Linked DNA regions of Astyanax mexicanus. The protein of the gene in region 2 interacts with the protein of the main gene of each other region in a pairwise test. Links are inferred from orthologs where the notes say so. Each region holds a gene or a part of one and is shown on either strand. Other genes may lie near its edges.

Region 1 (8,662 bases), on a different chromosome or scaffold from region 2:
ACCTCTGTGATATGTGTGTGGGTCTTTCTGAATTAAATGTGGATGTGATTTTTGCCAGAATCACTTGTCTGTTTGCACAGCAATTGTAACAAGATGCTTCTGGTCACGATCATTATCCACTGACCTGTCCACTGTGAGTAGTATGTCTATAATGCCTTCTGCATGTATTCCCTGTACATATTTGACACTTTGGATCACACAACTTTTGAAATTAAATATTCCATCCATCTGCCACCCATATCAGGCCTTGCTTAAACTTTGGCCATTAACCAATGTGTAAAACCTTACAGCTGTGGGCATTCACAAAGCATTCATGATCAATTTACATACTGACATCCCATGACTTTTGGCTAGTCAGTGTATGCAATCAGTACTTTTGATTATATATGTAAATGTTTATTTTTAATAAAATTAATTGTATGTTAAGTGTTGTGGGAGTGTGGAAGAAAGTGTTTATACATCACTAGCCAGTGAGGTGCCACTCTTAGCGTGCAGGATTCCAGGTGTGTCAGTCACAGAGGTGAACTGTGTAACTCGTTCATCATGGCCCCGTTTGTACTCCACCTAAGACACAGTAAGCAGAGGTGCATGAGTTTACTGGTCTCCCACGGACTGCAGACATCACATTGACTTCAGTATTCACACACAGCTTCGAGTGAGATCACTTACATCGCTGATGGTCTTCTGTGCTTGACTCATGCGAACTATCTCCTGACTGGTTACACTGCCTGAGTACCATGTCTGCTGCTCTGAAAACCCTGAAGACTGGTAAGCCTGGGGGACATTTCAGCGCATGGATGAGATCCTTCAATTCAGAAGTCCTGGATTTAACATTAGAAGAGCTGATCTGAAAAGAAGTGAACTGATATTTTACCTGGTTGGTCATTTGGCTGGCCTTGCGGGCCTGCTCAAGTTCCTTTGATCTCATGTCATAGTGGAACGTGGACATGAAACGCTCACCCTCTTCTCTGTATTTAATCTGAAAAGAACCACAGTGTTAACACTCAACACAGCTCAGGACACAAAACATTGAGTTGGCCTGCATTGGTACCATCTAAAACACGTATCTGTACTACATTTCTACTTGTTTTAAGCAGAGCAACTGTTCTTTACATTGTGTAAACCTTCTGTGAGATGTGGACCACCGGGAATGTTTGAAAGTACTTGGAATAAAATCTATTTTCATTAAACTAAAAGATAATTTAATAACATTTTAGCCTACTCTTGTAAAGTTACCATTTTGGTGCTACATTTTCTTTGATAATCATGATAATTATGTTATCAAATGTATGATTTATCAAAAAATAGATGGACCTGACCGCCATCATTCTTGTTGACCTTGATCTTGCAAATTGTGTTTTTTTTTAGCAAAGACAGCCAAAAAAACTGTTTTACTTTAGTTACTTTTTATTTGTTAAGGATATTTTTAAATGTTTATATTTCAATTCCAATCTCGGATTGCTTGTTTTTAATAATTAAAAATAATTATATTATCATTAGCCTATACAAGTGGTGTATAATCTTAAAATGACAATAATTTAGTTTATTGCAACAATTTATTGTGCAAACAAAAATGCCTAGATAGTAAGTCTAAACAAAACCTATTTCTGATGAGAAACATGGCCTTTGTTTATATCATGATAGCTGAACATCACCTGGGTAAATAAACAGTGTTTGGGTCATTCTGATCCTTAGGACATGAGGAGTATACAGAATATTAAGACATACATAATATATAGTTTAAATGGCTTTTATGTGAGTTTATAGTTATTTTTTCACTACATACAACTACATACTGTAATTACATACTGTTGCCACGACTACTGAATTATTCATAGCACATACTAAAGTAAAAGTTCATTTTCATTTCTGAACCTTAATTTTTAAAGGCTCAACATAATCCTAATGTGGCAGTGATTAAAACTTGCCAACCTCTATTATTACATATCCCTAAAGCACCAATCTGGCTTGACTGGGGAAGTAAATTCTAGTTATCATATAAAGATAGATATACAAAGTAATGCCGACTTAGAGCATGTGGCCAGTGCTATCTTTTCAAGTTGGAAAATGATCTGTGTTCATACAAGTCTTTCCAGGAAGTGGGGGAAAGATGTGCACGATGGAGTTTTAATAGGCTACGTTCAGGAGCTCTGCAGAGCCCAGAGAGCATGTAGACTTTTAAGCACACTGACAGACAGGAGCAGGTGGCTCTCCCAACATGACAGAAAGAGGGAGAGAGAGGGAGATAGAGAGAGAGATATAGAAGAGTGAGCGAGGAAGCAAAAGCATAAATTTAACCACCAAGCGCATAAAGCAGAGCAAGAGGGGTGTCGTGTCTCTGTCACACTACAGAAATAGCTCAGAGACTCAAACCCCATTCCAAACATCTAGAGTCACAGAGGGCTACAGAGTTCTCCTAAAAACAGCTTTACAACCCTCTCATAAAGAAGAAGCTTACAGATAAATTACCTTAAATAAAAAAAGAATGTTTCAAACTTTCATTTATTATTATTTTTTGTGCATTCATTCTATTATATAGACAGTCTATAAAACACTACTTATACTCTTCTAATAATAATATTTATTGCTGCATCATATAGGATTAAGACCACCATAAAATATTATTACTGTCATATCAAACTTCATAACTGATTATCTTACATTCATTTTCTTTTGAACCTTTAAAAACACCAAACCTTGATATGGGTAAACATTTAGGCCAACAGAAATGGTCCAATATTACTTGAAATAAAATATACTAACACTAAAGTTCAGAGCAAGTTCCTTTTTTTAAGATCTGATTTTTTTTACAATAATAAAAACATATTCCATATACATTAAATAAATATATAAAAGACTTACTATCATCAACAGCTAGATTATTACATTTTATACTCTTTAATCTATTAATTATATATTCAGTTTAGAATACATCTCTGAATAAATCATGATGTAATGAAACGCACAATTACCTTTTTATTTCAATATGAACACCATATGTGTGTAAAAAAAGGACACAGTAAGAAGAAAAACACAGCCAGGAGCATCAGTGAAATAATCACAAGCTCACCTCACTGACAGCCTCTGCCTGCTTCTTAGCATTGATGTTGACCGGAGTTTCATAGACGCTGGTGAAGGTGTTGTTCCGTGGATTATGTCTGTGAAATACCCACAGATTCACAGATTATAAGCAAAGCTTATAGAAACTTAAGGGGTCAGTAGTTTAGAGGCAGTGTCTAGTAAAGAAAGCATGGTTGTACTGTTTACAGTGATGGGACAGACCCATCTTTGTAAAAACCGAGAAACAGCAAAACCAATGCTTCTATTTACCAGTACAGAGTTTTCCATAAAATGCAATGAATAGGCATCATGTACTCACACTTGACAATACGGTCTCTTCTGATGGCTTACAAAATTATTGGCAGTTAGAACCATCTTACAGACCTCACAGTGGAAGCATGCTTTGTGCCAGTTCTGTTTATGTGAGAGAATACAGACAGAGAAAGCATCACCACCAACAATGTAGCTATGTTTTAGAAGTAAGTTTTGATATTATAACTTAATATTTTACAGAGACATGGTTAAAAATTTAGTATGGCCATAATATATACTGTTTTTTTTTTACTCTTCTTAAGCAAACTAAATCTTTAGCTTGTCTAAACCAGCATCATCACATATAAAACACAAGCACAGCAGTCTAACTAACTACAATGTACTTACTTACTTACTTAATCTTAAATAAAAACGTTTTTATTTTAATCATGTCTTTGGATTACAATATATGCATACTCAATTGTTACATGCACTCAATCTTACCTGACTAATGAGATTGATCTTCTCAGCTGGGTACACCACAAACCCACACCTGGCACAGTTTTGAATATTCATGTTTAGTTTTTCCCCACTGGATCCGTCACTACAGAGAAAACCAACTCGGCATACCAATTCTCTAAAAAATCAGTAGCTTTGGACAGTCCACAGAACAGGAAGGCAAAGCGTCCCAGTTAGTCCCCTGTTCCCACTTGTGTCTCACTCTCTGACCTGTGTTAAACTTAGCTCTGGTCTTTCACAGGCCAGCTCTGTCTATTACATGACCTGGATGCAAGGTCCCACCCCTTATTAGCTGCTGTCAGTCAGCTGAAAGCCTGCCCAGCTGTCTGTTAGTTAAGAGGGGGTCGAGATGCTACTGGATGTATGTAACTGAATACTAAATTTATTGTTATCTTTTGGGCAGCTTAGTCACAGCGGCCTCCACATGCCCCAGATGTACACAAAAATAGAGGAATGACCTAGTGCTTGCTAGGTGTATGTGTAATAGCGGCATTACCTATATGCTTTCTTTGACCATGCTCTGTCATCGTTGCCGTTTTTAGTCCGTCCAAAAGCAAAGAGAAAGAAAAAGAGAAAGAAAAGAGAAATTTATACAATTAATTTACCACTCACAAGTAGGGATGCAAAATGATATTGGTATTTTATTTTAGTGAACAACCCTTGCCAATATTTAGAGATCACAAGTGGGCAATGGCCGATATATAAGCCGATATTTGGTTTTCTTCACAACACAACATAATTTTACCCATTTATTCACAATAATAAGGATACACATTAAGCCAATTCCGCTATTCAAATAGTTTAGTACTCTGAACTTAAATTCCAATGGCTCAAACAGTGAATGTTTGAAACACTTTTACATTTGGAAAGTGTGCGGTGTAAAAAATGTTGTAATTGTTGTAGTGTTATGTGCTTGCAAACCAGTGAATCAAACCCTATATTGCCACAGGGAGTGCTGCAAATATACGTACGTACATTAATTTGTGTATATTTAAATCTTAATTAAAACCTTAGAGATGAAAATACAGTGGATGAAACTGAGACTCTGCTGTGTCTGTCCGCTTTTATTTAACACACTATAATCTATGACCTTACAGAGTTAATGTAATATGACTCAATGAACTACAGTAATACTACATTGATTACTACATCATAAGGCTGGGTTTACGGCAGCTAAAGCACATTTGAATACGGATGAGTTTTTGAGATTAATAAGCTACATAACCTACAATATTAATTATTAATCATCAAGCAGGAGTGCCACAAATATGTTCTGGACTTCGAATTGGACATTCAATTTTTTTTATACTTACTTGTGTGCTTAGACCTTTACGGCATGAATTGTATTTTTTGGGGAAAACAATCACAGCACTATTTGGGAGACTTTTGAACTTTTTTTCAGACCATGTTTTTTTTTTTTATGATCCACTTGTATGGCTCATTGCATTGGTCATAGGTATGCCTTTTATTCATGTTATATATTTTTTTATGTAACATTTAATAAAATGTTATAAAATAATAAATACATAAAAAATTAAGTTGTGGTATGAAATAACTATGGCTGCAACAATTAGTCGATATAACTGTTGATTATTCAACTTTGTCGACTACAAATTTCCTTGTAGATTAATAGTTAATTTGTAACAGTACTGCATTACACAAAGTGCTGGGGACAGAAGTACAATAGGACATGGGTAAATGGCTCACTCACACAGTTTACACTCAACTTAGCCTGTGTCTCCAATAGTGCCTAAACTCAACAGATTACATATCAGGACTAAAATGGTCGCAAATGCGACCAAAAATATTTTTTTGCGATTTATAAAATTAATTAAGTCGCCAGTGGCGACAGGTGGCAAAGTAGGGTTTTTTGCGTTTATTTATTTATTTATTTATTTTTTGCTTTTTTTTGGTTGTGTTTATCGATGTAACTATACTACGGCGCCCAATCATATGGACGTTTTTGCCTACCTCAAAAAAAAAGCCTTGCTTTACCTCAGACGTAACTACCACAGCAGCGTAGCTAAGCTGAGCTTTTATCCATTGGCCCGCAGTTTGCACTGGAAAATGCAGACGAAGATGAACATCCAAGAAATATGGAAGCCCATTTCCGCCACCTGAAGAAAAAAAAACGTCCTCAACTAAGTCATAATTATGAGATAGAAAAGTCATAATTATGGGATAGTAAGTCATAATTATGAGATAGTAAGTCATAATTATGAGATAGTAAGTCATAATTATGAGATAATAAGTCATAATTATGAGATAAAAAAAGTCATAATTATGAGATAGAAAAGTCATAATTATGGGATAGTAAGTCATAATTATGAGATAGTAAGTCATAATTATGAGATAAAAAAGTCATAATTATGAGATAGTAAGTCATATTTATGAGATAAAAAAGTCATAATTATGAGATAGTAAGTCATAATTATGAGATAGAAAAGTCATAATTATGGGATAGTAAGTCATAATTATGAGATAGTAAGTCATAATTATGAGATAGTAAGTCATAATTATGAGATAAAAAGTCATAATTATGAGATAGTAAGTCATATTTATGAGATAAAAAGTCATCTCATAACTATGACTTTCTATCTCATAATTATGACTTTCTATCTCATAATTATGACTTTTTTATTTCATAATTATGACTTACTATCTCATAATTATGACTTACTATCTCATAATTATGACTTTTTATCTCATAAATATGACTTACTATCCCATAATTATTACTTTTCTATCTCATAATTATGACTTAGTTGAGGACGTTTTTTTTTCTTCAGGTGGCGGAAATGGGCTTCCATAAAGAAAAGTACAACCACAGACATTTCAAAACTTCTTGGCCGCAATGTACTGCGAATTCAGTTCGAAAGTAAGCAAAGATATCGCTGGAAACACGTATTTTGTACCAGGAACGCATCGTTTAAAAAAAAAAGAAAAAACACGGAGAGAGTCGAAAGCATAAAAATGCACGCGACTGTTTTTTAGTGTGCTCCGACAAAACCTCCCTTAGCTCGCACATGTGATAAAACTGAAAAATTAAATTTAATAGAGCCTACATGCACGTGAGAAACTACCCCGTCTTGTTAATAAGAAAAAAATGGCCTGTATGTGTCGAAAACGTATGATAATGACTCAGCTTGTGCCGAGTTTGTAGGATGTAACGTTATAGCAGACAACGTCAAAGCTCGTCAAAGATCGTGACAGAAGCCCAGAAAGTTAAGTATATCACTGACTGTGGGACTGATGTGCCCGGCAGTTTTACGTAATCGCTTATTGAAGACACGTTTCTGGTGGTCTACCGGTGTACCGGTGTTTTGTCAAGTTATGCTACCCATCAATACGTGCTTCCTAAAGGCACTGCGCAAGTGCAAACCTACACGTTTTGATAATGTCTCGTGTTTTTTATGACAAATCTATTTTTTGTGCATAAAACAACCTGGACTCACATTGCACAAGAGTGTAAATACAAATTAATAATAATAATAATAAATACAATAATTTATTAATTATAATTTAAATACAAAAAAGCAGTTTGTAATGAACTCTCATTGCCTTAAATTTACCATGATACAGTGATTTATGTTATAAAAATATACTAACACTACATCTACTGGGGACTTCTACTGCAAACATGCTCTAACATTGAGCTTCTTTTGAGTTTTTATCGTTAAATATACACTCGACAGAACAAGGGCCACTCTTTAGAAGTGAGATAGGAAAACATATTCTCTCATTTCATGTTTGCCTCAAAGACTGGAACTGGCAATCCTGAACACTCAAAAATCCCTTCCAATTAGCCCCAAAAGCAAGCCTAAGCTGAAAGCAATTGGTGTGGAGTTGGAGTGTACCATAAGCACACCTTCTGCAGTAAAGACTCAGCATTATTGTTTGGCACTTGGAAAAAAATATTGGCGCCCAAATTATTTATTTTAGGAGTCACTGGCTCCTTAATTTTTTTTTTGTCTGGAGCCCTGCATATTTATTCATGAATTATCACCACGTTTTAAACAATATATAGACATTTAAAGCCACTTTAAGCCTCATGTTCAGTTATTTCTATCGTTTTTAGAGACATCACAAAATAATCGCTGACTAATCGACTAATCGAAAAAAACACAATCACAATCATTGCAGCACTAGTAAAAAACAAAAGTTTGGTTTGTTGGATGATGATAGCATCATACCAAAGAGGGTTAAGGCTGTCGGTTTGCTGTATTACTTAGGGGTTATGGTTAAGCTTTGGTTTATTGACACATACCTTGAGATTATCCTGTAAAACGCTGTTACTGACTAGAATTTATAAAGCCTACAAATGAGGAAATTCGTCTTGGACCTGGGGCAGCCCATTATCTGAAGACGGTGCCTGTCTCTTTAAATGATAAGCTGGTATGCCTACTGTACACAGGGCAGTTTACTCACAGGAAAGTTTCTTTTTCACTTCTCTCTGTTTCTTTTTCCTTTCGCGGAGCTGTGCGACCGTTTGGACTGGAGCTGCTCAGAACTGCCGTATAACTACATAATTTAACTAGGTAGCCAACTTTACGTGATTTTAGTGAGTATTATTCCTTCTGAGGAGGGTTTGTGTTAGTCTGGGTGTCTGTAGGCGGTGACTGCAGCTGCTGCTGCTGAGTTGTAGTGGGCAGGAAAAGATGAGTTAGCTATGTTAGCTTAAGTTTAGCTTAGCACAGGTTATACTTTCTACATTTCCTTTTAGAAAGCGCTAATATGTTTTTAAAAGCTACTATACAGCACCTAACATCATCCCCTGTTCAGTATATGTCCAATTTGCTATCTTAAATCGATCCGTTTACGAGTTAAATAG
Region 2 (9,521 bases):
TTTTATCTTCCCAGTCAACATTATCATGAGTAGCTCACACGGGTGGCTAGATAGGTTGCAAATGGGCATAATCACTGAGTGGGTTTGTACTTGAGTTCCTGACTAGGATCCAGATGGGCTTCCCAAGTGGGCCCCACTGTTACATCCTACGTTGATCTTACAATAGTCCCATCTAGGATCCACAGTCTTTATGATATATACATACTTGTTGGTTCCAATATCGTAGGTTTCAGATCCAGCAGTCAGACCTTCCTCATTAACTCCTCCGATTACAATGATCTTCCCGTTGTGAACAACAGCTCCAAACATCGCTCTGGCCGTCTTCATACTGGCCATCTCCCTCCACTCAGACTGCTTGTGGTTATACACAAACATCTTGTTTAAAGCTTTACTGAGAGACAGAAAGAGAGATTTTACAGTTCAATAGAATTCATAACATTAACATCTCGATTAAACATATACAATTGTATGCAGTAATGTGAATACCCTTTGTTGAGTGGTTTATTTTATGAATTTTCTAAATAACAATAAAAACTCAAATTTAAGGTTTTACTGTATATAATACAGTATCATTACTATTTAACATAGTGATGGTCACTCAAAAGCTTTCTATTTAAGGTGGCAACAGAAGAAGGAAAGAACTTGACTTTCAATAGAAGCTCATGTAAAAAGATTTGTTTTTCATAAAATTCATAAAGTAGAAACCTAGTTATATCAATATTACTAAGAGGCCATCTTTTTGTATGAGTTTTTTTCACAATGATCTTTCACAAAGAAAGCTCATGAGACAATTTGAGCATTCAAGAAATTTCACATGATTATATTTGATTAAGCAAAAAAATGAACATTTTATTGCAACATTTCTTTTTTTTTTAGAAAAAAAATATAGAAGTGTGTAACCAATAGCATTGACAAATAAACAAAACATGAATTATTTTCCATAGGGCCTCAAACAACTAAGCCAACTGTTTTTTTCTGTTTTTAATTATTACCAATATTATTACCACAGCAATAGTAATATATTTACTACTGAAAATACCTATAGAGAACTAACAAGGACCGTCTATACCAGTGGTTCCCAATCCTAGTCCTGGAGGAGTTTTATTGGTTTCCTGCTGGACACACCACCTTAATCTCAGAATTCAAGGTGTATGGAAGCAGGTTAAACACAAACATATGGGGGCGAGGGGTCCTTTGGGACCAGGGTTAGAAACTACTGGTCTATAACATGGTAGTAAGACTTAGGTTACCAACCCTCCAAAGAACACACAAACACATACACACACTTACTTATCATCTGTCTTGCCTCCAATGCAATAAATCAGGCCATTATGTGAGACTACTGAATGGCCGTGGATGCGGAGTGGAAGTTTCTTTGTCTCGCTCCATTTCATCTTCCTGTAAAAATGACATATGATAAAATTTCCATTAAGCAGAAGTAGACAAAAGAATGATGAAAAAGAATATAAATGGGAAAAACACTAAAATAAACCACAGCTTATTCACAGCTGAATTAATATAGTTTTAATTAATAACTAGTTTTGGCAACATTATTAAACAAACTACAACATGACTACATGTCAATGTGTTTAGTACTCTGCATTCCATTTGCTTGTCCAAATGCTTGTGGACACCCCTATTATGAATGCATTCGGCTACTTTTAAAGTTGCAAATTCACAACACAAGTAGAATAGGCTCATTTTTATCCCCATTGATTTCAGAAGAGCAGATATCTAAATACTTTGGGATAGTATACATTTCTAACTGAAAGACACAATAAGAGAATGATAGGAGAATGACAGATTGACGTTACTCACTCAGTATCGTAACACATTACAGAATCCAGGGACTCGTTGGTCTGCAGGTCTTTACCAGCGATAGCGAACAGCAGACCATTATATTCACCCAAACCAAAGAGGCATCTTGGGCTTGGCATGGGTGGCAGTGCTACCCAATCAGATGTAAGACTGTCCAACTGAAATAAAATCACAACTGATTAGTCAGTGTTTTAATATCAATAATACAGTTAAAACATTTTTTTAGAATTGTTCTGTTGAATAACAGAATTTATGAATTAGACAAAATTGGTCATGATAGTTTTGCGGTCTCACAGATGATAATTTTTATAAGCCAAACTGACTTTTAGATTTCTGTTCTTCATGCAGTTGGTTGACTCACTTTGCAAACTGAGTATGTTATTATTTACTTAACCTGACGTCCTGATCAAATCCAAGTATTTTTGTGCTGATTGTCAGCCAATACCAATCTGATCTTTGTGTTTCTTTAGATAACACAGCGCCGCATCTTAGGAAACTGCTATGAAGTAACGCTAGTGATTTCACTTTATTTTCAGTGCCAGTTATCTATAGTTATCCAAATGGTTGCAAAAATACACATAGAATAGTTGCACATAGAAAGAAGTGCCAAATTGCAATGCTTTTTTTTACTGATTTCGGAAACACTTTGTCATATATATTGAGCTACACATATATAAGTAGTGTATGCATGTGTATCACAAGATGGCAGACATCTGGGTTTGGAGTTGTAGAGGTTCCTAATGGTGTTCTGTGGTAATCCATCCAATAGAGCTTTGAATATTTGGTATCCCACCTCTTTTCATTCAGAGCTATGTCTGGCAATGTGGCATACTCTTGAGTCTGCAGCAGTTGGACGAGCATTGTCTTAATGGATTAGTGCGCCAAAGTCATAGGGCCATAAGTTGCACCCCACACCATGACACCAGACCTTCTGGACCTGGGAAATATTTGACTATTTAACTCCCTGATCCTTTAAAACACTGTATTCTCTACACATACAGCAATTTGCACAAAAGTAAACAAATGAAATGTTTTTACACTGTACAAAATCCAACTCAACAGAGGTTTTTGAATGATCAACAATACATTTTGAGATAAATCAGCAAGAAAACATCTATGGGGAAATGTGGTACTATTTGTGTCGTTGTACAAGGTAATTTTTGCATAGAAATGCAAGGAAATTTCCACAATTGTCACTCTTTTGTCTGTGAGTTAAAATATTATGACCTACCTGGTAGAAGTAGCACTGGAGTGGTGCTTCTTTGTTGTCTTCGTCAACGAACAGACCACCAATGACAAACAGCTCGTTCCTCTTGGAGCAGTGGCTGATGTGGTTCTTGGGCACTTGTTCGGCCATGGCCGCCAGGAAGCATTCGTTTTCTACCACGTCATACGCCACCGCCGCTGTGTCATTAATCATGAGGATTAAATTACGCCCATACATCCCTAGCCTGCGGTTGTCGTTCAGGAAACCTGGCAACATCTCTTCTTCTTCCTCCTCTCCTCCTTCTTCTCCATTCACCTCTCCTTCCTTCTTCTCCTTCTTTTTCATCTCGGGAAGTTTCCCTTTGAAGGCATCTTTGATGACCTGCAGTTTCTTCAGGAGTTCTGGATCGGCCTTAATGATGTCATCGTTTTCTACTTTCTCTTGGAAGTACTTTTCCGGTAAGAGGCGGAAGCGGATGAATTCGAAGGCTTCACCCAGAGACTTGACACGCTTCTCCTTGTCGCTTCGCACCCACTTCATTAGCGACTCGAACACCACTTCCTCCTTCTCCACGTTCAGCATGTCTCCACCAATGAGGGCAAAGAGTTCATGAGGCGCCAGCTGCAGGAATTCCTCTTCGTCCATCAGGCTTTCGAAGCGATCCGCAATAAAATCGCGGGCAGATACGGCTAGCCTGGGCACGTTGAGGATCAGGCCGAGCCTGAAGATGGCCAGGCAGTTGACCATGGACAACTTCTTCTGCAGATAGTTCACACAAACCGTGAACACAGAGGGAATCTGGAAGCGGTTAGCGACTGCGAATATCTCCTGAACATTGTCATCGGTCAGCTCGATTTCAGCAGAGTAGAGGTATTTAATGATCATGTCCAGAACATTGGGGTCAACGTCATCCACGGCGACCTCTTTGAGGTCTTCTTTGATCTTTCCATCTTCAGAGAAGAAGATCTCTCTGAAGTAGGGGCTGCATGCGGCCAGAATGAGGCGATGGCATGGAAAGCAGCGGTCACCCACTTTCAGAGTGCAGTCCACAAACTTGTTCTCGTTCAGCAGCTCCTTCAGGCCGTCCTGCAGCAGCGTGCTTTGGAACAGCCGCAGTTCTTCCTTCAGTGCTTTGGGATCCATGGCAGTGGATAGGAGGGTAAGTGGTGGAGGACAAAGAAGAAAGGAGGAAGAAAGAGAGGAGAGAGGGTGGCTTCTGCTTGCCACACAGTCCTGGCTGGAAAAGGACAGACCACCAAAAAGATCTGCAGCTTGAAAAAGCTGTTATTTAATCTGGGCTTTCTAAATTTAACCTGGGCTGGACCCTCCTCCCCTCTGCAGCTCCCCCTGTTCCCCCTGTCCGTCTGTGAGTAGGGGGAGTGCAATGACAGCAGTTGTCACAGTAAAACAGGCTGCAGAGGCCTAACCAGGATTTAACCCTTAAGTTTAAAACTGTGTTTCACTGTTTTTGTGTAATATTTTAATATTAACACATAATGAAATACATTAAATTACAAATTCTACTAAATAATTTATTAATCAGGAGTCTTTTAATTATAACAATATTTTAACCTTTTTAAGTTCCGCAAGGCACTACCTAATACAGGTATTATAAATTTTCCGTTAAACATTTTCCATTTTATTTTGGCAAAGAACTGTTAACTTTAATTTGGCGATATAAATTGAGTGAGCTGTTCCAGCAGCAGAAAAAAACTAGAGGTTCTGAGAAGTTAAATTTGCTGTAAATATTGTATTTTTATGTGCTCTAACAATTTACATAATCAATAACACACACGTTCAGTATACATTCCTAATTTTTTCCCCATTAATTTGAATGGCACAAACATGGCAAACAGCAGCATGGATGGACTATGTTAAGTAAAAGAGAATAAAAACAGAATATAAACAGAAATAACAGAATAAATAAATAAAAAATCAATAGAAAAATAGAGGATCAAAAAATATTCATCTTGGTAATCTAACTTTGCCTCCAATTTCTTCTTCATTTATGCTTTAATGAGCTGAATCATACTTATCACAATTACAATGATATGACACTGAATGTGTCTATAATCTATAAAATTTTATCTAAATCTATAAAACCTATTTGTACTTCTGTAAAAGTTCACATGATAACATTTCTGAAGTTGCATTGTAAAGATGTATAATGTTTTGTTCGGTGGTATGTATTTTACTTGTACATTTGTGTGTGTGTGTGTGTTTGTGTGAATGGTAGCACATCTAAGATCAGAGTGACAGTGATGGGAAGCAGCTGCTACAACAGGTGACAGCACCCAACCCCACCCTCCCCACCCCCTCCACACACACACACACATGCACACACTCTTGATCAAGCGTTTTAGAGTCACTGGAACCTCATTATTGTTCTTTGCTTCTATGCTTCATGTTACATATCTATAGGAACTGTAATTATGGCACAAATATATTCAAAGTTTACAGGACACTCAAATATTTAAAATATTTCTTTCCAAATCATAAACTTTGATTGATATAGACTATAATAATCACAAATCTGGTTTAGAAGCCGGATTCCAGTCTTATTTTGAATCTGATCTTATGATTTCATGGAAAACAGTTTAGAGTGAGAGGGTCGTGTGTTGTGTTGGAGATAGTACTATAATTAAAACAGGCCTGTGTGTGTGTGTGTGTGTGTGTGTGTGTGTGGTAGTTATATGTAACTTAAGTCAAAAGCGCGAAAGACAGAGGGGGGTACTCTGTCTCACACACACAACCCACCTCACCCCCCCAATCACAGAGAGAATGATGCCAATAGGGGAGTGTAAGAGTAAGTGAGTGAGCGTCGTCTGTTAGCCAGCACACAGCAGATGACGCAGTAAAAAACTGACCATGTGAATCAGTGAGCTTGGCTTAGTAAGCTGTTGTTGACCAAAATGAATAGTTACAACAGCTGAACAAAGCTTTTGGGTTATTTTTTTCCTACTCTAATGCTGGTTTGAGCCTGTTGGTTTATTTTGCTCTGTTATTTCCAGCATGCTGGATACAATGTCAAATGCATATGTGTTTTAGGCCTGCAAAACATAAAAAAAAATTGTAACAGAGAATCATATACCACTTGTTTAACAGTATGAGTTTGTGTTATTTTTACTAATTTATCTGCTCATTATTGACCAAATCGTGATTACAATCACCTTTTGATATGCATTTTTATGAATTGATAAAAATTAAATCCAAACCACATGCAAGAAACACTGCATTTATTTTGTTTATTTGCATTTTACCTACTGTCCCAACTTTATCCAATTTTTGATTATGCCCAGCACTATGTAAATGACCAGGCAAAATAACCCAACTGGCTCAACTAACCGTTATAGTGGGGGAAAAAAAATCATACTGTCCAAACGTTTTGATTTAGAGTTGCTATTAAATGTTCTTGTCCTACGCTACCCCAAGATACATTCTTTTAAAATAAAGAGTGATGGCATAGAATAACCATTTTCAGTCATATAAAAAAACTATTTTGGTGCTTAAACTCTAATTAACCCGATAAACCTAACATAAAACAGCAGCATGTGCCTAATTATGGGCAGGCATGCGGTATTCTGCATATTCAGTTAAACTGCCATCAGACAAATTATTTTACATTGTGCTGAGAATGTTCAAAAAGGTAAAACATAATTTTTCAGTAACATTTTTTATTTTATAAAAAAGTATGCTATATTAAACTTGGATTACAACACACAAAATGATACAAAACCTATAAAGAAATATCAAAGGATGTCCTAACATCAAAAACATAAAATTGCAGTATTGACAGTGTTCATTATACAATAGCAACTGTTCACAACAAATCAGGTAATGGCCTTAAATACATAATGCACCCGTCAAACAATCAGTGTTCAGTTTATATCCTGATGTACATTTAGAGACTGTAGCAAACCTATCTGTTGATGGATTGCACTAGTCCTTTAGCCCTTCGTCAGTGGCCTGGTTCTAAACACAGAGGCACTGTAGGGTTGGATCAGTACAAAAGTTAAGTCTAATATTGCATACAGCAGTATCTCCAAATGAGGACATAATATGGAAATATGATGTTTCTGATGTGTAAAACTAATTTAACTGCATTAAAGAGTCAGAGGGTTGGTGCGGGGAGGGCTCAAGCTCTGAAAATAAGCAGATTGGGGGGATATCCAACCATATACAGTGGAAAGTAAAATATGTATGTGAATCCTTTGCAGTTTCATGTGTTTATGCATACATTTTTCATAAAATGTGGACTGATCATTCAAGTTAAGGATATTGACAGATATAATGTGCTAAAATAAAATAATATATATATATATATATATATATATATATATATATATATATATATATATATATATATATATATATATATATATATGATGTTGCAGGTCTTTGATGACTCATTCAACACTAAAAGTGGTGGTGGAAAAATTGCAGGAATAACCTCAACCAGGCACTTTCTGTAGCTGTGGATCAGATCTGCACTTCGTTAAATTTTTGCCCATTATTCCTGCAGAACTGCTTTAGCTCTCTCATATCCCTTGGATGCTTTAGAAGTACATCTCTCTTCAAGTCAATCCATAGCATCTGAGATCTGGGCGGATTGAATATGTGAGGATGAACCCTTCACTTGACTCTGTGCTCTTAAATTAGGCTTTTGCTGCTTTCTATTAGGACACAATTATAAAGACAATGAAGGACACCATTGTCCCCATAAATTAAACAATTCCCAAATAAGAAGCAGGTTTTTAATAACTCTTCTGACATTCACTGTCTCACTGTTTCAAGTGGGTTGTGGAATACATCACTAAAAAAGGACTAGAAATGAATAGGAACAGGAAAACAAATACAACTGGAGCTAAAATATACTTGAATTGAAATTGGCTAATAAAGAAAATTAAGTATTTACACAGCAAGTCACTGATGCAGTACAATGAAATACTCAACATACAGTATTTCAGCAATTATGTGCACATTTCTCAGTGAGCTCGATCGTTGAGGTATTACAGATACTAATCCAACAACAGTCAATCTTCTATCACAAAGATCTTCTGTGTTCATCATCCTCCTGTGAGAACAAACCAGGGAGAATTATACAGTATATTTGTAGATGCTGATGATAACCAGTTACATCAAGTAAGTAAGATTGGTGCAGTTTTCGTTAAACAAAAATCCGATTAAAAAAATTAAATATGGAGAGCCTGGATGGGAATTAAAAAAGGACAGTAAAACAATGTCTGTTCACTTTTTTTTTTGCAAATGTTTCTATAAAACTGGATAACAAAAATAAATAGATTACAAATAAGATAAAGAGAGCTGAAATTCTGTTCAGTAATTGTGTTTTTTCACTTCATGTACACTCTGAACCAGAGTGAATATTATAATCAGTATTTGCACATGTAAAAGAAAAGAGCATGGTACCACAAATAGAGTGACACTGAAATGATGTTCATATTAAAGCTTGATGTGATAAAATTTCAGTGTGAATTTTGAGTTTTTACATGATTTTTATGTTGTGTCTTATTCTGTGAAGTTATTGGCTGGTTACAAAGCAAAAATCCAATCATTGACCAAATTTAGGTAAACCCAATGATTGGATTACTCAGTAATTTGATTATGATGTGCGTGCATGCTGACATTTATTCAACTATATGGTGTACTTTTTTAAGATTAAGGGTAAAATTGTGACTGTATGTTTAAATGCGAGTAATTACCTGCTTGTGAGACCACACAGGTCTTTTTACACTCTTCCTCTGTATCAAAGCGGTTCCGGTTTCCATCACAGCCTCCGTACCAGAACTGGGCGCAGGCGTTGGCCTGCTTGTCGTAATACCAGCGGATATTATATTCACGGCATGGACCCTGGTCTAGGGTCAGCTCACAGCGAGGGTCCAGGGGTACGATTTCTGACCAGAGAGGAGACACAATATGATATGTTATTACTGGTGTTGTAGTACTTAGAGTCTGGTCTTGGCTTGAAGACCAGTCTAAAGACTGTCATCTCTGTCTCATTTCGGTCTCAGGGTGAGATGGACTCAAAAATTGTTGTAGAGACCAGCCAAGTCCAATGCCTTTGTCTGTTACATAAATATCATGTGCTATAAATGACATAGTGTCACACTAGTTCTTACTTCTTTATGTGTAGCATGCTGAGATATTGCATTTAATGACAACATGGGACATCAGGAAAAAAAAGTACTGCATAATGATATATACATTTTAATTTTAAATATGTAATTTTTTTTATATATGAACATTTTGCTACATTATTTAATTTGAATATTTCAGAATATTTCAGGTTCTCCAGAAAGCTTGCATGTTCTGTGTTAAATGTTGCTCTTACAGCTTTAATAGTAAACTTTAATACTTTAATATGACTTGTAAATCTGACTTTACAAATGGGGAGTAGTAGGATCTAGAGTGATGTGTTTTAGGTTAGAAAAAATATTCTTATAAAAAGTTAGTGCTTGATAATCTTAATACTGGCCCT

Evidence for each region.
Region 1: the proteins of klhl41b (region 2) and nebulin-related-anchoring protein interact in binary tests that used the Homo sapiens proteins (3 or more experiments, as listed by UniProt). The link is inferred for Astyanax mexicanus from reciprocal best matches to the Homo sapiens genes KLHL41 and NRAP.

Annotation. Positions count from the first base shown.
Region 1 is NC_064422.1:32,367,737-32,376,398, forward strand, and holds the start of nebulin-related-anchoring protein, read right to left. Parts: upstream 4,065-8,662; 5' UTR 3,889-4,064; coding exon 3,817-3,888; intron 3,475-3,816; coding exon 3,380-3,474; intron 3,159-3,379; coding exon 3,071-3,158; intron 980-3,070; coding exon 875-979; intron 775-874; coding exon 670-774; intron 565-669; coding exon 460-564; intron 1-459. UniProt on the Homo sapiens protein: May be involved in anchoring the terminal actin filaments in the myofibril to the membrane and in transmitting tension from the myofibrils to the extracellular matrix.
Region 2 is NC_064412.1:53,826,390-53,835,910, forward strand, and holds the start of klhl41b (kelch-like protein 41b), read right to left. Parts: upstream 4,296-9,521; 5' UTR 4,169-4,295; coding exon 3,050-4,168; intron 1,977-3,049; coding exon 1,819-1,976; intron 1,399-1,818; coding exon 1,291-1,398; intron 392-1,290; coding exon 206-391; intron 1-205. Other genes in the region: col28a2b (collagen alpha-1(XXVIII) chain), read right to left, coding at 8,092-8,099, 8,746-8,937. UniProt on the Homo sapiens protein: Involved in skeletal muscle development and differentiation. Regulates proliferation and differentiation of myoblasts and plays a role in myofibril assembly by promoting lateral fusion of adjacent thin fibrils into mature, wide myofibrils.